3 linked regions of the Mus musculus genome follow. The protein of the gene in region 3 purifies or fractionates together with the protein of the main gene of each other region. This does not show direct contact. Links are inferred from orthologs where the notes say so. Each region holds a gene or a part of one and is shown on either strand. Other genes may lie near its edges.

What was found. The genes of interacting proteins can lie anywhere in the genome.
Region 1: the proteins of Khdrbs1 (region 3) and Lck purify together in Homo sapiens (affinity purification with western blotting; 5 studies listed by BioGRID and IntAct, with this or other methods). This does not show direct contact. The link is inferred for Mus musculus from reciprocal best matches to the Homo sapiens genes KHDRBS1 and LCK.
Region 2: the proteins of Khdrbs1 (region 3) and Plcg1 purify together in Homo sapiens (affinity purification with western blotting; 7 studies listed by BioGRID and IntAct, with this or other methods). This does not show direct contact. The link is inferred for Mus musculus from reciprocal best matches to the Homo sapiens genes KHDRBS1 and PLCG1.

What each region holds. Positions count from the first base shown.
Region 1 is NC_000070.6:129,548,810-129,553,413, forward strand, and holds part of Lck (proto-oncogene tyrosine-protein kinase LCK), read right to left. Parts: intron 3,216-4,604; coding exon 3,139-3,215; intron 3,062-3,138; coding exon 2,908-3,061; intron 2,828-2,907; coding exon 2,696-2,827; intron 192-2,695; coding exon 1-191. UniProt on the Homo sapiens protein: Non-receptor tyrosine-protein kinase that plays an essential role in the selection and maturation of developing T-cells in the thymus and in the function of mature T-cells. Plays a key role in T-cell antigen receptor (TCR)-linked signal transduction pathways.
Region 2 is NC_000068.7:160,748,038-160,752,641, reverse strand, and holds part of Plcg1 (1-phosphatidylinositol 4,5-bisphosphate phosphodiesterase gamma-1), read right to left. Parts: coding exon 4,515-4,604; intron 4,361-4,514; coding exon 4,313-4,360; intron 1,680-4,312; coding exon 1,595-1,679; intron 1,500-1,594; coding exon 1,416-1,499; intron 1,207-1,415; coding exon 1,172-1,206; intron 1,010-1,171; coding exon 937-1,009; intron 859-936; coding exon 757-858; intron 555-756; coding exon 436-554; intron 348-435; coding exon 262-347; intron 189-261; coding exon 68-188; intron 1-67. UniProt on the Homo sapiens protein: Mediates the production of the second messenger molecules diacylglycerol (DAG) and inositol 1,4,5-trisphosphate (IP3). Plays an important role in the regulation of intracellular signaling cascades.
Region 3 is NC_000070.6:129,739,141-129,744,544, forward strand, and holds the start of Khdrbs1 (KH domain-containing, RNA-binding, signal transduction-associated protein 1), read right to left. Parts: upstream 3,164-5,404; 5' UTR 3,021-3,163; coding exon 2,639-3,020; intron 1-2,638. UniProt on the Homo sapiens protein: Recruited and tyrosine phosphorylated by several receptor systems, for example the T-cell, leptin and insulin receptors. Once phosphorylated, functions as an adapter protein in signal transduction cascades by binding to SH2 and SH3 domain-containing proteins.

The sequences.
Region 1 (4,604 bases), about 190 kb from region 3:
CTGGTACTGGCCCTCTGTGGCTGTGAAGAAGTCATCCAGAACACTCCGAAGGTAGTCAAACGTGGGCCGGTCCTCTGGGCGCTCCTTCCAGCACAGCATCATGAGGTGGTACAGCTCTTCCGGACAGTTGTCAGGTCTCACCATGCGGTAGCCTCTCTCCAGGTTCTGAATGACTTCAGGGTTGGTCATTCCTGGAACGTTGATGGAAGAAAAAAACATCAAGACTTTAATCTTTGGAAACTCAAAAGCAAGGCTGATGCTAAACTGACTCCAGTTCTCTTTCTTTCCTACTTATTTTATCTATCTATCTATCTATCTATCTATCTATCTATCTATCTATCTATCTATCTATCTATCTATCTATCTATCTATCTATGTATCTATCCATCCATCCATCCATCCATCCATCCATCCATCCATCCATCCATCCATCTATCTTCTTTCTCTCTTTCTTTCTTTCTTTTTTTTGTTTTTCAAGACAGGGTTTCTCTGTGTACCCCTGGCTGTCCTGGAACTCTGTAAATCAAGCTGGCCTCAAACTCAGAGATTCATGTGTTTCTGGGATTAAAGGTGTGTGCCACCATCTTCAGCTTAAAATTTTATTTCTATAAGTGTGTTTTCCATGTACACATATCGCATGTGTGCAGTGCTCAAGGAGGCCAGAAGAGGGCACTAAATTCTCTGGAACTGGAATTACAGACAGCTGTAATCTGCTTTATGGGTGTTGAGATCTGAACCCAGGTCCTCTGGAAGAGCAGCCAGTGCTCGTAGCTACTAAGCCATCTCTCCAGTCTCCCCATCCCCCTCAGACAACAATTTTTAAGTATGGGATCTCAGTCAGGCCACCATGCCTTTAATCTCAATACTCAGGAGGCAGAGGCAATCAGATCTCTGGGAGTTCAAGGACATCCTGGTCTACAAAGTGAGTTCCAAGAGAGCCAAGGACTATACAGAGAAACCCTGTCCCCAAAAAATCAAAAATATGAATGAATGAATGAATGAATGAATGAATGCAGGTTCTCTTCTTCTACCTTTCCAGGAATACCGGGGATTGAACTTGGTTCATCAGGCTTCCTCAGCAAGTCACCCAAGCTTGGGTCACCTGAGAGTGTCTCGGGAGTCTTTGGTTGTTTTTGTTTTCATTAATGGAATGCTGACCAACACAGGTAAGGTTCAGAATATGGAACTACCAATCCAACCTGATGCTAGTCTTCATTAAGGTAAGGCACACTAGCATTTCCTGCTGAATGAATGTCAGGCCCACACCTATAGTGCCTACACACACTCAATAACATACATGCCAGCCGCAGGACCTTGACTGGGCCACCTCCTCGGCTTCCTCTTCTGGCATAGCGTGAATCACCGAGTTTTAACGAGGACTGAAGGATCAGTGTATATAAGAGGTACCTGACTAGGGGTGTTCTTTTATAAGGTGTACCTGGGGTTGTTCGTATTTGATGGCAATGATGGGGTAGTCAGGGCTCAGGATGGGATGAGAGCCCACAGCCAGGGCAATGTTGAGGTATCTCTAGCTTTTGGGCCTAAGCACAGGAGATGAATACTGGGCTGTGAGATAGAACAAGCCCAGAGCTGGGAACACTTCTAGCCTCTAACTGTGAGATTCAAAGTGCCTTTACATTCCTGGGATCAAATTTCAATGCCTGTTGCCCTGGGCCTGTGGGAAGTTTCTGCCAATCTGACCTCTGAACTCTATAACCTCCTACTATTTTCTGTGGCATTTTCTTTCCACAGAGGTTATCAAATTCCTTCTAGAAAAATCCCACCCCCAGGCTTAGAAGCATGGCTCAGGGGCAGCACACTTACCTTGCGTGCACAGGACCTGGGTTTGATCCCCAGGTACATAGGCACATGCTTGCTGTAATACAAGCACCTCCCAGTGAGGCAGAAGCAGGAATACTGGGAGCTCAGGGGACATCTTCAGATTCATAGAGTGTTAGAGGTCAGCTTAAGCTATGTAAGACATTGTCTCCAAAAAAAAAAAAAAAAAAAAAAAAAAAAAAAAAAAAACAACCTAATGGCTAAAAAACAAACATTCAATAAAATCGGGATAAAGGCCTTTCCTAGAAGGAGGGATCTACATGGTTTCTCTCTTTAGCTGTGACATCTCAGTAGGAAAGCACCAGTGCTTACTAAGCAGCTCCCATGCAAGTGTTTCACAAAGTCTCTTGTTCTATGTATGGGGAAACAGGCTCAGAGGGCAACATAACGTACCCAGAGTAATGACTAGTAATGGCTTAGTGTGGCCTAAGCACTATTCTGATCTCCTATTAAGAAACTGGAGGTCAGGCAGTGGTGGCACACTTTTAATCCCAGCATTTTGGAGACAGAGACAAATGGATGTCTGAGTTTTGAGGCCAGCCTGGTTTACATGGTGAGTTCCTGGACAGCCAGGGCCAAACAGAGAAACCTTTACCTCCTGTCCACCTCTGACATACTAGGTGGCCTCTGCCATAACCAAGCAAGGAAGAACTGGAGTTTTTGAGAAGTGTGGGGACTCAGAGGCAGAGATGGAATGAAGCATCTAACAGAAGATTTCGGAGTCACAGGCCCAAGTGGATGGGAGAGAAGCAACTCAGAGTTTCAGAGTCTGAGCCTGGGTAGAGGTGAGCAGGAAGGTATGGCTTGGCTCCCCTTCCTTGAAGACTTAGAGTTGCTTGTCTTAAGGAAAGCTCACCTGGGTAAGGGATTCGACCGTGGGTGACGATCTCTGTAAGCAAGATCCCGAAGGACCACACGTCTGACTTGATGGTGAAGGTCCCATAGTTAATGGCTTCTGGTGCTGTCCACTTAATGGGAAATTTGGCCCCTAGAGAGAAGCAAAGTTAGTCCCCCTGTGTGTGCTTGCTCTCCTGCTGGCCATGAACCTCCTCTCTATCCCACACCTACCCTCCCGGGCCGTGTACTCATTGTCCTCAATGAGGCGCGCCAGGCCAAAGTCTGCAATCTTGCAGCTCAGCGTGTCAGACACCAGGATGTTGGCGGCGCGCAGGTCCCGATGGATGTAATTCTGTTCTTCGATGAACGCCATGCCCTCTGCAATCTGCAGGCCAGGAATAGGTCACCAGTCCTTACCCCACTGATCTGTAGCCATACCCAGCCCTTTGCCCGGCTCCTTACCTGGGCTGCCATGTCCAAAAGTTTGTTGACATTCAACTTGATGCCCGAGGGAGTCTTGAGAAAATCTACTAGGCTCCCTGTGAGCAAAAGCAAGAGTTGTTGACTTAAATTGCCCAGGACGAAGCCCGTAGACCCTTCCAGATCCACCTAGATCCACCTAGGATCCACCTAGGATCTGGAAGCAGTGCCTGACCGTGGCAAGGAAGAATGAGGACTGAGAAAAAGTGTGTGCTTGGGGGTCGAAGGGGGGGATGATGTGAGCAAGGGAAGAGAATGCTTGTGCAAGGTGGGGATGCTGTGCACAAGGGGGGGGGATGCTGTGCACAAGAGGGGGATGCTGTGCACAGGGGGGATGCTGTGCACAAGAGGGGGATGCTGTGCACAGGGAGAATGCTGTGCACAAGAGGGGGATGCTGTGCACAAGGAGGGATGCTGTGCACAAGGGGAGATGCTGTGCACAAGGGGGGATGCTGTGCACAAGGAGGGATGCTGTGCACAAGGGGGGATGCTGTGCACAAGGGGGAGATGCTGTGCACAAGGGGGGATACTGTGCACAAGAGGGGGATGCTGTGCACAAGGGGGGATGCTGTGCACAAGGAGGGATGCTGTGCACAAGGGGGGATGCTGTGCATAAGGGAGATGCTGTGCACAAGGAGGGATGCTGTGCACAAGGAGGGATGCTGTTCACAAGGGGGGATGCTGTGCATAAGGGAGATGCTGTGCACAAGGGGGATGCTGTGCACAAGAGGGGGATGCTGTGCACAAGGAGGGATGCTGTGCATAAGGGAGATGCTGTGCACAAGGAGGGATGCTGTGCACAAGGAGGGATGCTGTGCACAAGGGGGGATGCTGTGCACAAGGGGGTATGCTGTGCACAAGAGGGGGATGCTGTGCACAAGGAGGGATGCTGTGCACAAGGAGGGATGCTGTGCACAAAGGGGGATGCTGTGCACAAGGAGGTGATGCTGTGTACAAGGGGGGATACTGTGCACAAGAGGGGGATGCTGTGCATAAGAGGGGGATGCTGTGCATAAGGGAGATGCTGTGTACAAGAGGGGAATGCTGTGCATAAGGGAGATGCTGTGTACAAGAGGGGGATGCTGTGCATAAGGGGGATGCTGTGCATAAGGGAGATGCTGTGTACAAGAGGGGGATGCTGTGCATAAGGGGATGCTGTGCATAAGGGGGGTGCTGTGCACAAGGGGGATGCTGTGTACAAGGGGGTATGCTGTGCAAAAGAGGGGGATGCTGTGCATAAGGGGGGTGCTGTGCACAAGGGGGATGCTGTGCACAAGGAGGGGATGCTCAGCATATGGGATGGCCTTTTCCAGAGGGCTAGGTTGGGATATGAGCAGAGGATCCAGAGGCTTCTTGCCTCCAGTTAAGACAGAGCCCCATCTCCACAGCAGCCAAAGCTGACATGCTTCATGCCTGTGTCTTCTTCCCAGAGACCTGACTTTCTCTAT
Region 2 (4,604 bases), on a different chromosome or scaffold from region 3:
GCAAGCAGGGGATCCTAGGAGTAAAAGGACCTTCTGGAGGCTGCCCGTGATCTGCACGCCTACTCACTCTGAGGCTACGAAAGCATGCTCCTTGATGGTGTGCAGGACGTCAGAGAACTTGATCTTGGTGGTGAGAGTGTGCCCATGGTAAATGACTGGCATCCCATCTGGCCCATCCCAGCAGTCCACTAGAGAACAATATCACACAGTCAAACAGGCAGGCCTCTCACCTTCCCTCTCCAAACCTTAGACCCAACGTACACTCAATGCAGCGACAGCCCATCCTCAGGCAGCGAGCATAGGCTTCCAGGGAGGACTCACTGGAGAACTGGTCCCCAGTCAGGTACCTGGATAAGCAAGGAGAGGTACATATGGTCTGGAGGGCCTTCCTCCCTCCTTAGGAAGGGTTGGATGAGCAAAAAGAGGCTTACTCACGTATTATGTGAGGAGGAGATCCAATAGTGAGAGAGTGGGTTGTTCATGGTGTCCGGGCACACAGCATCCAGCTGTGAGTTCCACACGCTGTTCTCTTTGGAGAACAGGAAGGTGACAAGCTACAAGGATAAATGTGGAGGAGAAAGTGAATGAGTGCTGGCTGCCACTTGGGATGGAAGTAGGTACAAGAATGTGCTGAGTCTCGACTCCACTGGCAAAGTAGGCAGTAGAGTGCATGCACAGCTTTTAGAGCACAGGTCAGCTCTGGTCACCCACCCCACCTGCTTTCTCTAACAGAATGGTGGGAAAGGTGAGGCTCACCTCATCCAAGAAGAAGTATGGCTCCTCAATCTCTCGCAAGGGGTCTCGAAGGAAGCTGAGCATGAATTCCTGCACCTGGAGCCGGTCGACAGCCCACAGCTCCTGCCAGGTAAAGAAGTCATGGAGGAGGCCACCAATGATGAAGCCACCCTGCAGCCTAACTCCCTGGCCCAGACATACCCCCTGGTATTCAAGGAGGAACTGCTGGAACTCAGAAAGGGACACCTGGCAATGCTCCGGACGCTCTCCAGTCCTGTAGGGAGAAAACCTAGTGTCTGGCACTGGCTGACAAAGGGCCCCCGTCTAGTGTAGATACCCAGTGGTTTATTATGCCCCATCCCCATCTACCCACTGCTTCCCACCTGGATCTGAAACCACCCAGAGAAAAAGCCCAATTGGCTGTTCCAAACCAAACCTCAAAGCGTTGGTTTCCAAGAAGGGAAGGTCCATCTGCAGAGAACAGAATCTGGTCAGGAGGAGCCCTGGGAGGCCATGCAGGAAAGGGGCTCTTAAGAAAAGGCTAGGGAGCAGATGCCCCGGGGGAGGGGTGTGTGTGGCTAGAGTAATGGCACCAAAACCACTCCAAAGCAGGGCAGCAGGGCTATGAGAGAAGGCAGAGGAGTTGGGCCAAGGACAGGGAGGGTGGGAGGTTCATGCACCGTCTTCTGGGCGCTGTACATGAGGCTGCGGTACAGCTGAGCAAACTGCCCGTAGGTGATGTCCCCGCTGCGCTGTTCAAGGTCCTACATAGTACAGAGCAAAACTGCCAGTCAAGCCCCTTAGGAGGAGTCACTGGCCTCCCCTTCCTTGCCAGAGGATAGCCCCAAGTGTCCATTACCGTCAGCCGCTCTCGGAGGAAGCGCATATTGGGGACTCGGTAGTTGACCTGAGACAGCATGTTCTTCAAGTCCTTGGCTGATATACTAAGGGGAGAAAAAGGATTCCCTTTTGACTTTAGGCTGAACCTAAGGATGGACAGGTAAACACCTATACTCTGGGAACCTGCAGTCTTAAGAGCAACACTCTTTCAAACTTCATGCTGTGCTAGATGGAGCGAGTTCCTGCCTTTCTCTGGGCCTCAAGTTTCTGCAGTGAAAGAGAAAAAGCCCAATAGCCACAAGTGACCAAGCTCAGGAAAGCAGAGGAAAGCAGGTCAGGCTGGGATGGGAGGCAGAATAAGCCATTTCCAGCAGTTGCCCCCAGCTCTGATCTGCTGCCTGTACAGGGCAGGGCAGTGCCCACTGCCACTAACGGAGGCATCCTAGGACCCACAGTCCCCAGGATAGGTAGCAGGGAAGGGAGCGCGGGCACCCTTAGCCATGTGTAACTGCTGCTGCTGAGCACACTCCTGAGGCTCCAGGAAAAGAACTCAGAGAGAGGGACAGAAGGGAAGAGAGAAGAGGGAGAGGAGAGGGAGACAGAGAGAGAAGAGAGCATCAGCGCACTCTACCCTCTAAGCATAGCAGCTTGGACAACAACAGGATGAAAAAGCTGGAAAAGGATGCTCTCCTGGGAGGAGTGGGTGCTGGAGAGAGAACACACCCTCTTCTGGCCTAAAGCCAGGCACGAAAGACCAAAATTCCCTAAGGCTCGGATCTTCACCAATAATTGAATGTCCTGGAACAGGTAGTTCCCAAAGTAATGCTGCGCCCTTTTAATACAGTTCCTCCTCACGTTGTGGTGACCTCCAACTAGAAAATTATTTTATCACTACTTCCTAACTGTAACTTTGCTACTGTTATGAATCCTAATGTAAATGTCTGCTGTGCAGAAAGTCTTAGGTGACTCCTGGGAAAGGGTCATCCAACCCCCCCCACAGGGGTCGAGACCCACAGGTTGAGAACCAATGCCCTAGAGTCAAGGCTCTGCGGGGAGCATTGGGTCACCTGACCCTCAGTCAGCCAGGAAGCTGCAGTCAAGCCTGTCTCCTCCCTTTCCCGCTGTCATAAAAATCACACTGCTCTCTCCACCCTGCCCTGCTTAATTCTGTGTTTGTTGTCCCTTCCCCTCTATGCAAAACTCCTTTTTTAAGAGTATTTATTTATTTATTTATTTGATGTATGTGAGTACATTGTTGCTGTCTTCAGACACGCCAGAAGAGGGCATTGGAGCCCATTACAGATGGTTGTGAGCCACCATGTGTTGCTGGGAATTGACCTCTGAGTGAGTGCTCTTAAGCGCTGAGCCATCCGTCCAGCGCTATGGAAAACTCTCACAAGACTCACCTGCAATCTCCTCTGCCCCTAAGCTGCTCACCACGGACTGAAGCTGCTTTCCCCACAACATGACTACTCAGAAGGGTTAAGCATACTCCTCCTTTCCTAGCTTCCCATGTGGAAGCAGTCTGCAGCTGCCACTTGGCCTCTTCCCTTTTCTTGCTATCTGGGTCCCTGAGTTTTTATCTGGGGACCCCAAGAGTTTCCATTTCACCTGTCCACAGTCCTGTGTTACTACCTCCAGCCCGACCTCCTCATTTGAACTCATTCTACCAGCCTGGTAACTCCATACCTCTCTACCTGGGAATCTATTATGCACCATAAAACTTACATCCATACTGGACCCTAAGCTCCCACAGTAAGTTCCTCCCACTGTCTTCTTGTCTCAGCCAATGGCAACTTTACTTCCCAGTTGCGCATGTCAAAAGCCTATTGATCTCTGACTTTTTAGATGCAATTTTAAACAAAGAACATAGCCCAAATCCAGCTAATTCCTACTATTATTACCTCAACCTGAGCCCTCTCACCTACACCCAGAATGGTCGGACAGTGTCTAACAGCCCTCTACAGCAGTATGATCTTGGTTGTGTTTGCCTAGTTTTATGTCTTCTTGACACAAGCCAGAGTCATCGGTAAAAGAGAGAGCTTCGATTGAGAAAATGCCTCTGTAAGATCCAGCTGTAGGCAAGCCTGCAGGGCATTTTCTTAATTAGTGATTGGTGTGGGAGGGCCCAGCTCTATGTTGGTGGGTAGGGACACCTCTAGGCTGGTAGTCGTGGACTCTATAAGAAAGCAGGCTGAGTAAGCCATGAGGAGCAAGCCAGTAAGCAGCACCCCTCCATGGCCTCTGCATCAGCTCCTGCCTCCAGGATCCTGCACTGTTTGAGTTCCTGAGCTGGTTTCCTTTGGTGATCAACAGCAACGAGGAAGCCAATTGAAGCTGAATAAACCCTTACCTCCCCAAGCTGTTCGTTCATGGTGTTTCACTGCAGCAATTGTAAGCCTATGTAGGACACTGGGGAAACTCTAGGTCAGAGCAGGTCACTCCTCTACACATCCCATGGCTTCCTGCCTCTGGGGGACCTTGCAACAGTACAAAGCAGCACTGACAGCAGGCCATCTGGTCTCTGCTTCCTCCAGCTCCTGGTGCTCTGGCTGCATTGCCAGTTACACCTAGAAGTCCAGCACTATCTCTGTACCCCACGCTCAGCAGCATGGACTACTTTTGTGTCAGAGCCCCTAACCCCTCCCAATGTAACTCAGTTCTATGGACCCTCTGGCTCCAATGCTCTGGGTGCCTCTACCCACTGGTTAGGCATCCGCCTCAGCTTAGCACCTACCGATCCTCTCGGTTACGATCCACTGAGTAGAACTGCTTCCGGAGCCACCTGAAGAGAGAAAAGCCTGAGGTAAGGGCCTCTTCTCAGCTAAGGTAAAGCCTGGGTAGAAGAGAAGTTACCGTGTGCCCAGGAGACCTGAAGTCTCTGTCTCTTCCCTTGGTTCCGAGATGCACAGTTTTAACCACATGAAGACGATTCTTACCTCTCAATTTGCAGGGGTGTGGCTGCCTGCAGTGTATCCTCCATTAGCCAAGTTAAGCCCTTGATCCACATGTTCACTTCATCCTCAGAT
Region 3 (5,404 bases):
CAGGTACTTATTCGAAGTGCCAATCAAACACAGGTGTTTGCTATTTGCAAGCCAGTATGAAAAAAATATAAAAAATAATGACCCAAATTGTAAATCAGTTAGTAGAGTACTATGTCTGATCCTAGGCATTGCACAAACTGAGTGTGGTGGGGCTCACTTCCCAAACCCTCGAGGAAATGGACCACAAATTCAAGGTCACCAGTGGCTATACAGAGAGTACCCAGCCTCAGCTACTTGAGACCTTTTTTTTTTTAAAAAAGAAAAAAAAGGAAAAAAAAAAATCAAAATTTTACTAAGTTGTCAGAACAAAAGAACAGAAACGTAAGAGCCCAAGTATTACAGAATAGAGGTACCAAGCTGACATGCACAGAGTTGATGTTTCTATTCACTGACCACAGGTTTTGTTTACTGTGCTTCAAAGGCCCTTATTTGCTGTTTTCATATTTGACTGGAAAGAAAAGCAGGTCTTTAAGTCATTGTAGATCCGTGACCTTTTTGCATTATACAAACGGTAAATCCCCTTCAACAATGCTGGGAAACAGAGAGCAGATGAAGGGAAAATGGTATATTCCTTTTATTTCTTTTCAGCTTTGTATTTTGAGTACCTGTGTAGGACATAAGATAACATCAGGCCGGTGGTGGTGGTGCATGCCTTTAATCACAGCACTTGGGAGGCAGAGGCCAGCCTGGTCAACAAAATGAGTTCCAGGACAGCCAGGTCTATACAGAGAAACCCTGTCTCGAAAAAACAACAACAACAAAAAAAAACAAAGAAAACAGCCGGGCGTGGTGGTGCACGCCTTTAATCCCAGCACTTGGGAGGCAGAGGCAGGCGGATTTCTGAGTTCGAGGCCAGCCTGGTCTACAAAGTGAGTTCCAGGACAGCCAGGGCTATACAGAGAAACCAAAAAAAAAAAAAAAAAAAAAAAAAAACCACCAAAGAAAACAAAAACAGGATCCCCCAGTACTGAAGTTACAGGTGTCTGAAAGCCTTCTGATGTGGGTGCTGGGAACTGAACCCCTGTGGAAGAGCAGACAGTGCTCTTAAAGGCTGATTTGTCTCTCCATTAGATAGTGCTCTTTCACAATGAACTGTCCACGATATCGTTCTGGCCAGAGTGCAATGCTCTGTGTACTGGACGCTATCAGAGGAGATCTGGGGGCTCTGGAGCATTGCTCTCCAAAGGAGAGGGGGGAGAATTCTGAAGCTCTCAGGCAGTCTTTGATGAAATAACCTTTATTCCTTGTGGCTAGGGTCTAATATACATTTTGGGGTGGGGTGGGATCTAAAAGCAGATGCTTTCTATTGGCTTGGTCGGAGAAGTTAGGGATGCTACATCTGCATGTGGAGGGAGGGCCTTCAGGTGTTGGGGGGGGGGTTTAACACCCCGTGTGACTGACTCATGGGGTGTCTTGGTCAAGTGTTCCAGGTTCAGAGTAGGGTTTCTGAATCCGCTCAACCTTCCCAGTTTTTGTCTGGTGACAAGGTTCCATCAGCCCCTCAACAGTCCAACTATTCAACCAGTAGGACAGACTGTGGGTATTAGATGCTTAATAAAAATTAGATATCAGCCGGGCAGTGGTGGCGCACGCCTTTAATCCCAGCACTCGGGAGGCAGAGGCAGGCGAATTTCTGAGTTCGAGGCCAGCCTGGTCTACAAAGTGAGTTCCAAGACAGCCAGGGCTATACAGAAACCCTGTATCGAAAAACCAAAATCAAAAAAAAAAAAAAATTCGATATCATAAAAAATACTAAAACCATGTCTAACAACAGGCGGCGGTTTGAATAAGGAAAAATATCTAAGTCGCTCAAGTCCGGAGAAGAGAGCTCCATAGTCTACAATCAGAGAACAAAGACTACCATTCTTAAACTATCTCTACTCCAGCAAAAACTAAAACAAAAAGACCAATTTCTCGTTCATCTCACGCAAAAGAACCTGCCTGCCGCCCCTTACCTCCCTCTATCATTTCTTTCTACGGTCTCCTGGGCTATCACAACCCCCCCCCCACACACACACACACTTTTGCATAACTTCAGAAACACATTTCAAAATAAAACAGAGAAACCATCCGGGTCTGCAGCAATTCTTACTCGACAGGCCGAAATGGAAAGCTTGGCTTGAGAAAACCTCAAGCTCACGGATTCTCTCGTCGCCCCGACCTCTAATGAACTTAAACCCGAGTTCCCGCTAAATCCCGCCCCGCTCCGTAGATGCGCTGTGCGGGACCGGCATTCCGGCTATCTCTACCTTACACCCCAGGTCTCCATCACCCGCGATTCCCCCCCCCAAATGTTTCCTCTTTGGGAAAGCGGGGAGAAATAGGTTCATTTCTGTTAAGAGCCGGCCCTTGGCGCGCGGGGCAACTACTACGGGAGGAGAAGGGGGCGGGAGCACGGTACTATCCATCAAGCTCTCCGCGCTCTGAGATCGCGAGTCCTCTTCGGGCCTCGTCCGTGGCTCAGAAATCTTCCCTTACACCCTGAGCCCGGGTGGGACTGTGGGTGCAGAATCTCGAAGGCCAGGTCGAGATGACAACTCTCGATGCCCGGGCTCCGAGGGGGTGGGAGCAAGAACAAAGCGGCGGCCACCCACAGTCAGGACCGGGAGACCCAGAGGACCCGCCAAGAACCGCTTACCTACGGACAGCAGCTGCATGGCGTGAGTGAAGGACGGGTCGAGCGAGTCCTTCTCGGCCATGAGTTCAGGCAGGTACTTATTCTCCGGCTCCATCTTGACCGCGGCTGTGGCTGACGGGGGCAGCAGCGGGGTCGGCGCGGAACCCACCACCGTCGCGTCGGGACCAGGGGTGGAGGGAGGCAGCAGCGGCGGCGGCTGGGTGGCGGGCGAGGCCCGAGCGCCTCCTCTGGGCCCACCTCCCCCTCCCCGGGGCCGGTGAGGAAGCGGCGACGGCCGAGACGGGGTCAGACGCACCGAGGGGTGGGCACCTGACGGGTCCTTGGAGCAGCTGCGGCCCGAGGACCGGGTGAGGCGCGAGGCAGGATCGTCCCGGCGCTGCATCGGGGATGATGGGTGGCGAGCGAACGAGCGAGGAAGCGACGCGGCGGCAGCTGAGGCCCGAGCGGCGGTTGGCGGGGGTGGAAGAACAGGAGCGACAGCGACCGAAGCCGACCCGAGCGACCCAGCGAGAGAGCACCGGAAATGAGGCGGCGCGCGTGCGCAGGCGCCTACCGGCACCGCCCTTGAGTTTCTCCGCGGAGAACAAAGTCCCCAGTTGGACCACGGCGCCTGCGCCGACTGAAGACGTCGCCTCCCCGCTTGGGCTCCGAGCTTAGGGCGCCTGCGCGGGCGCCCGCCGCCTTCCTTCATTTCTTTTTCTTTTCCACGTGACCCGGCGCTAGCGGTACACGTGTCTCCCCTCCCCCTCCCCCGGGCGGAGTGCGCGGAGGGGGCGGGCGCCGTGGAATGTCTTTGTCTGCGCTCGGGCCCGCGGAGTGTGCGGCAGGAGACCTGTTATTCGTGCGCCACGCCTCCTTCAACGGCCGAGCCTGGGGAGGTCCCCGAGGGAGCGGTGCCCCGGAGTGGAATCGGGGGCCGCCCCTCCAACCGGGAAATGAAAAGAACGCTTCTGGAGAGAGGGGGACGCGAGGGTTAGAGCCAAGTGAAGCCGGAAGAGAGGGAAAGACTGCGCGAGCGAACGGGATGGGAAGATGGGGATGCGGGCGGGCGTGGTGGGAGGGAGGAGGCTGACCCAGAGATAAGTGATGAGTGTGCGAAAGGGAAGCCAGGAATGGGGAATGCTGTGTGTTGCAGAACTGAAACTCAGAAGGAGTCGAAGGGGTCAGTCAGAGACGCAAAGACCGGAAGAAAAGGGCTCCCTCCATACCCAAGTAGGGCATCCAGGAAGTCAGTCGGCAAGATTTCCATTAGAGCAGGTTCAAAACTAGTGAGAGAATTATTAAAAGATGCATTTGGGGTCGGGTCAACTGGTAATGCTGCTTATCACCTGTTTTTGGAGTCCCCGGCTTGTTGGCTTGTTCCCCACCCACTCATCCCCGGTAAATTCCAAATTTTCTCTCTCTCTCTCCTTCCAACCCCGCCTACTCAGAAAGCCTCAGAACACAAAAAGGCGCCAAAAAATCCAGTCCTGAATTCCTGACTGTACTAATCCTCATCTTTAGTCACCAGCCACCCAAGCCCCACCCTAGATGACCATACCTGGGCACAAGCCCAGCTTGTGGTAGACTTGTCATTTTCTTCGCCTACAATCTATCAAAAAAGTACCAGCCATACTCTGCCCCCGACCTCTGAGGCTGGTGGACTCACCCGGGAACCCATTTCCAAATAGATATGCCTTTTTAAAAAAAATTATTCTTGAATTAGCTTATTTCGTTGGGGGTGGAGGGGACTATTATCAACCTGAGTTCTAGCCCCAGGCCCAAAATAGGAGAGAACCAGCTCTCCCAAGTTTTCTGACCTCTACTTGCACATAGAGGCCTTCATGTCCAGCCATACTAAGGGGATGAGGTGGTTATGCATCCTAGCGCTGAGGAGGAAAAGCCACAGAATTACCTCATGTTTGAGACAAGTCTGGCCTACATACACAGCACAGCTACAGGCCACCTAGGACAGGCCACCCTGTCCCCCAAAAACAAACTAAGAAGCATCTTATATTAGGTCTCTGACAAACTGCAGTCCTAGCACCTGTTAGACTGAATTGTTTTGTTGCCACCTTCTGTTTATTCTGTAAAACGGTGACTCCAGGGCCAGTCCTTAGCCCATGTTGGCTGCCTAGTTCTCAGAGCTCCTAGTACTCCTGCTCTGAATGCTGGTCCTTCACAAGGGATCCCCCTGCACTCTTTCAAAAAGACAAATACTTTCATTTTTCCTTAACACGTGTTTTCACTGCAGAGTCAGTGACTCACTCTCTAACCCAGAGTGGCTTTGAACTCAAAACAACTCAGTCTTAATCTTCAGAATACTGGAATAACAAGACATAAATCACCATGAGACAGATAGTACTGCTGTAAGGACCAGGGCACAGTCTCTAAGATCTCTTCATCCTAGGGTACTGTATGCAGATGGAACCCAAATTAAATCCCATTAAAAGTCTGAGGCTGGGCTGGTGAGATGGCTCAGTGGGTAAGAGCACCCGACTGCTCTTCCGAAGATCCAGAGTTCAAATCCCAGCAACCACATAGTGGTTCACAACCATCTGTAACAAGATCTGACACTCCCTCTTCTGGAGTGTCTGAAGACAGCTACAGTGTACTTACATATAATAAATAAAAAATAAAAAAGAGAAGTTTTTAAAAAAAAAAAAAAAAGTCTGAGGCTGAGATGTCAAGATGTCTGAGCTGGTTAAATCATCTTCAGGCCTGAAGATCTGAGTCGATCTCCAAGACTACACAGTGGGAGGAAAAAACTGACTCTCAAAAGTTGTC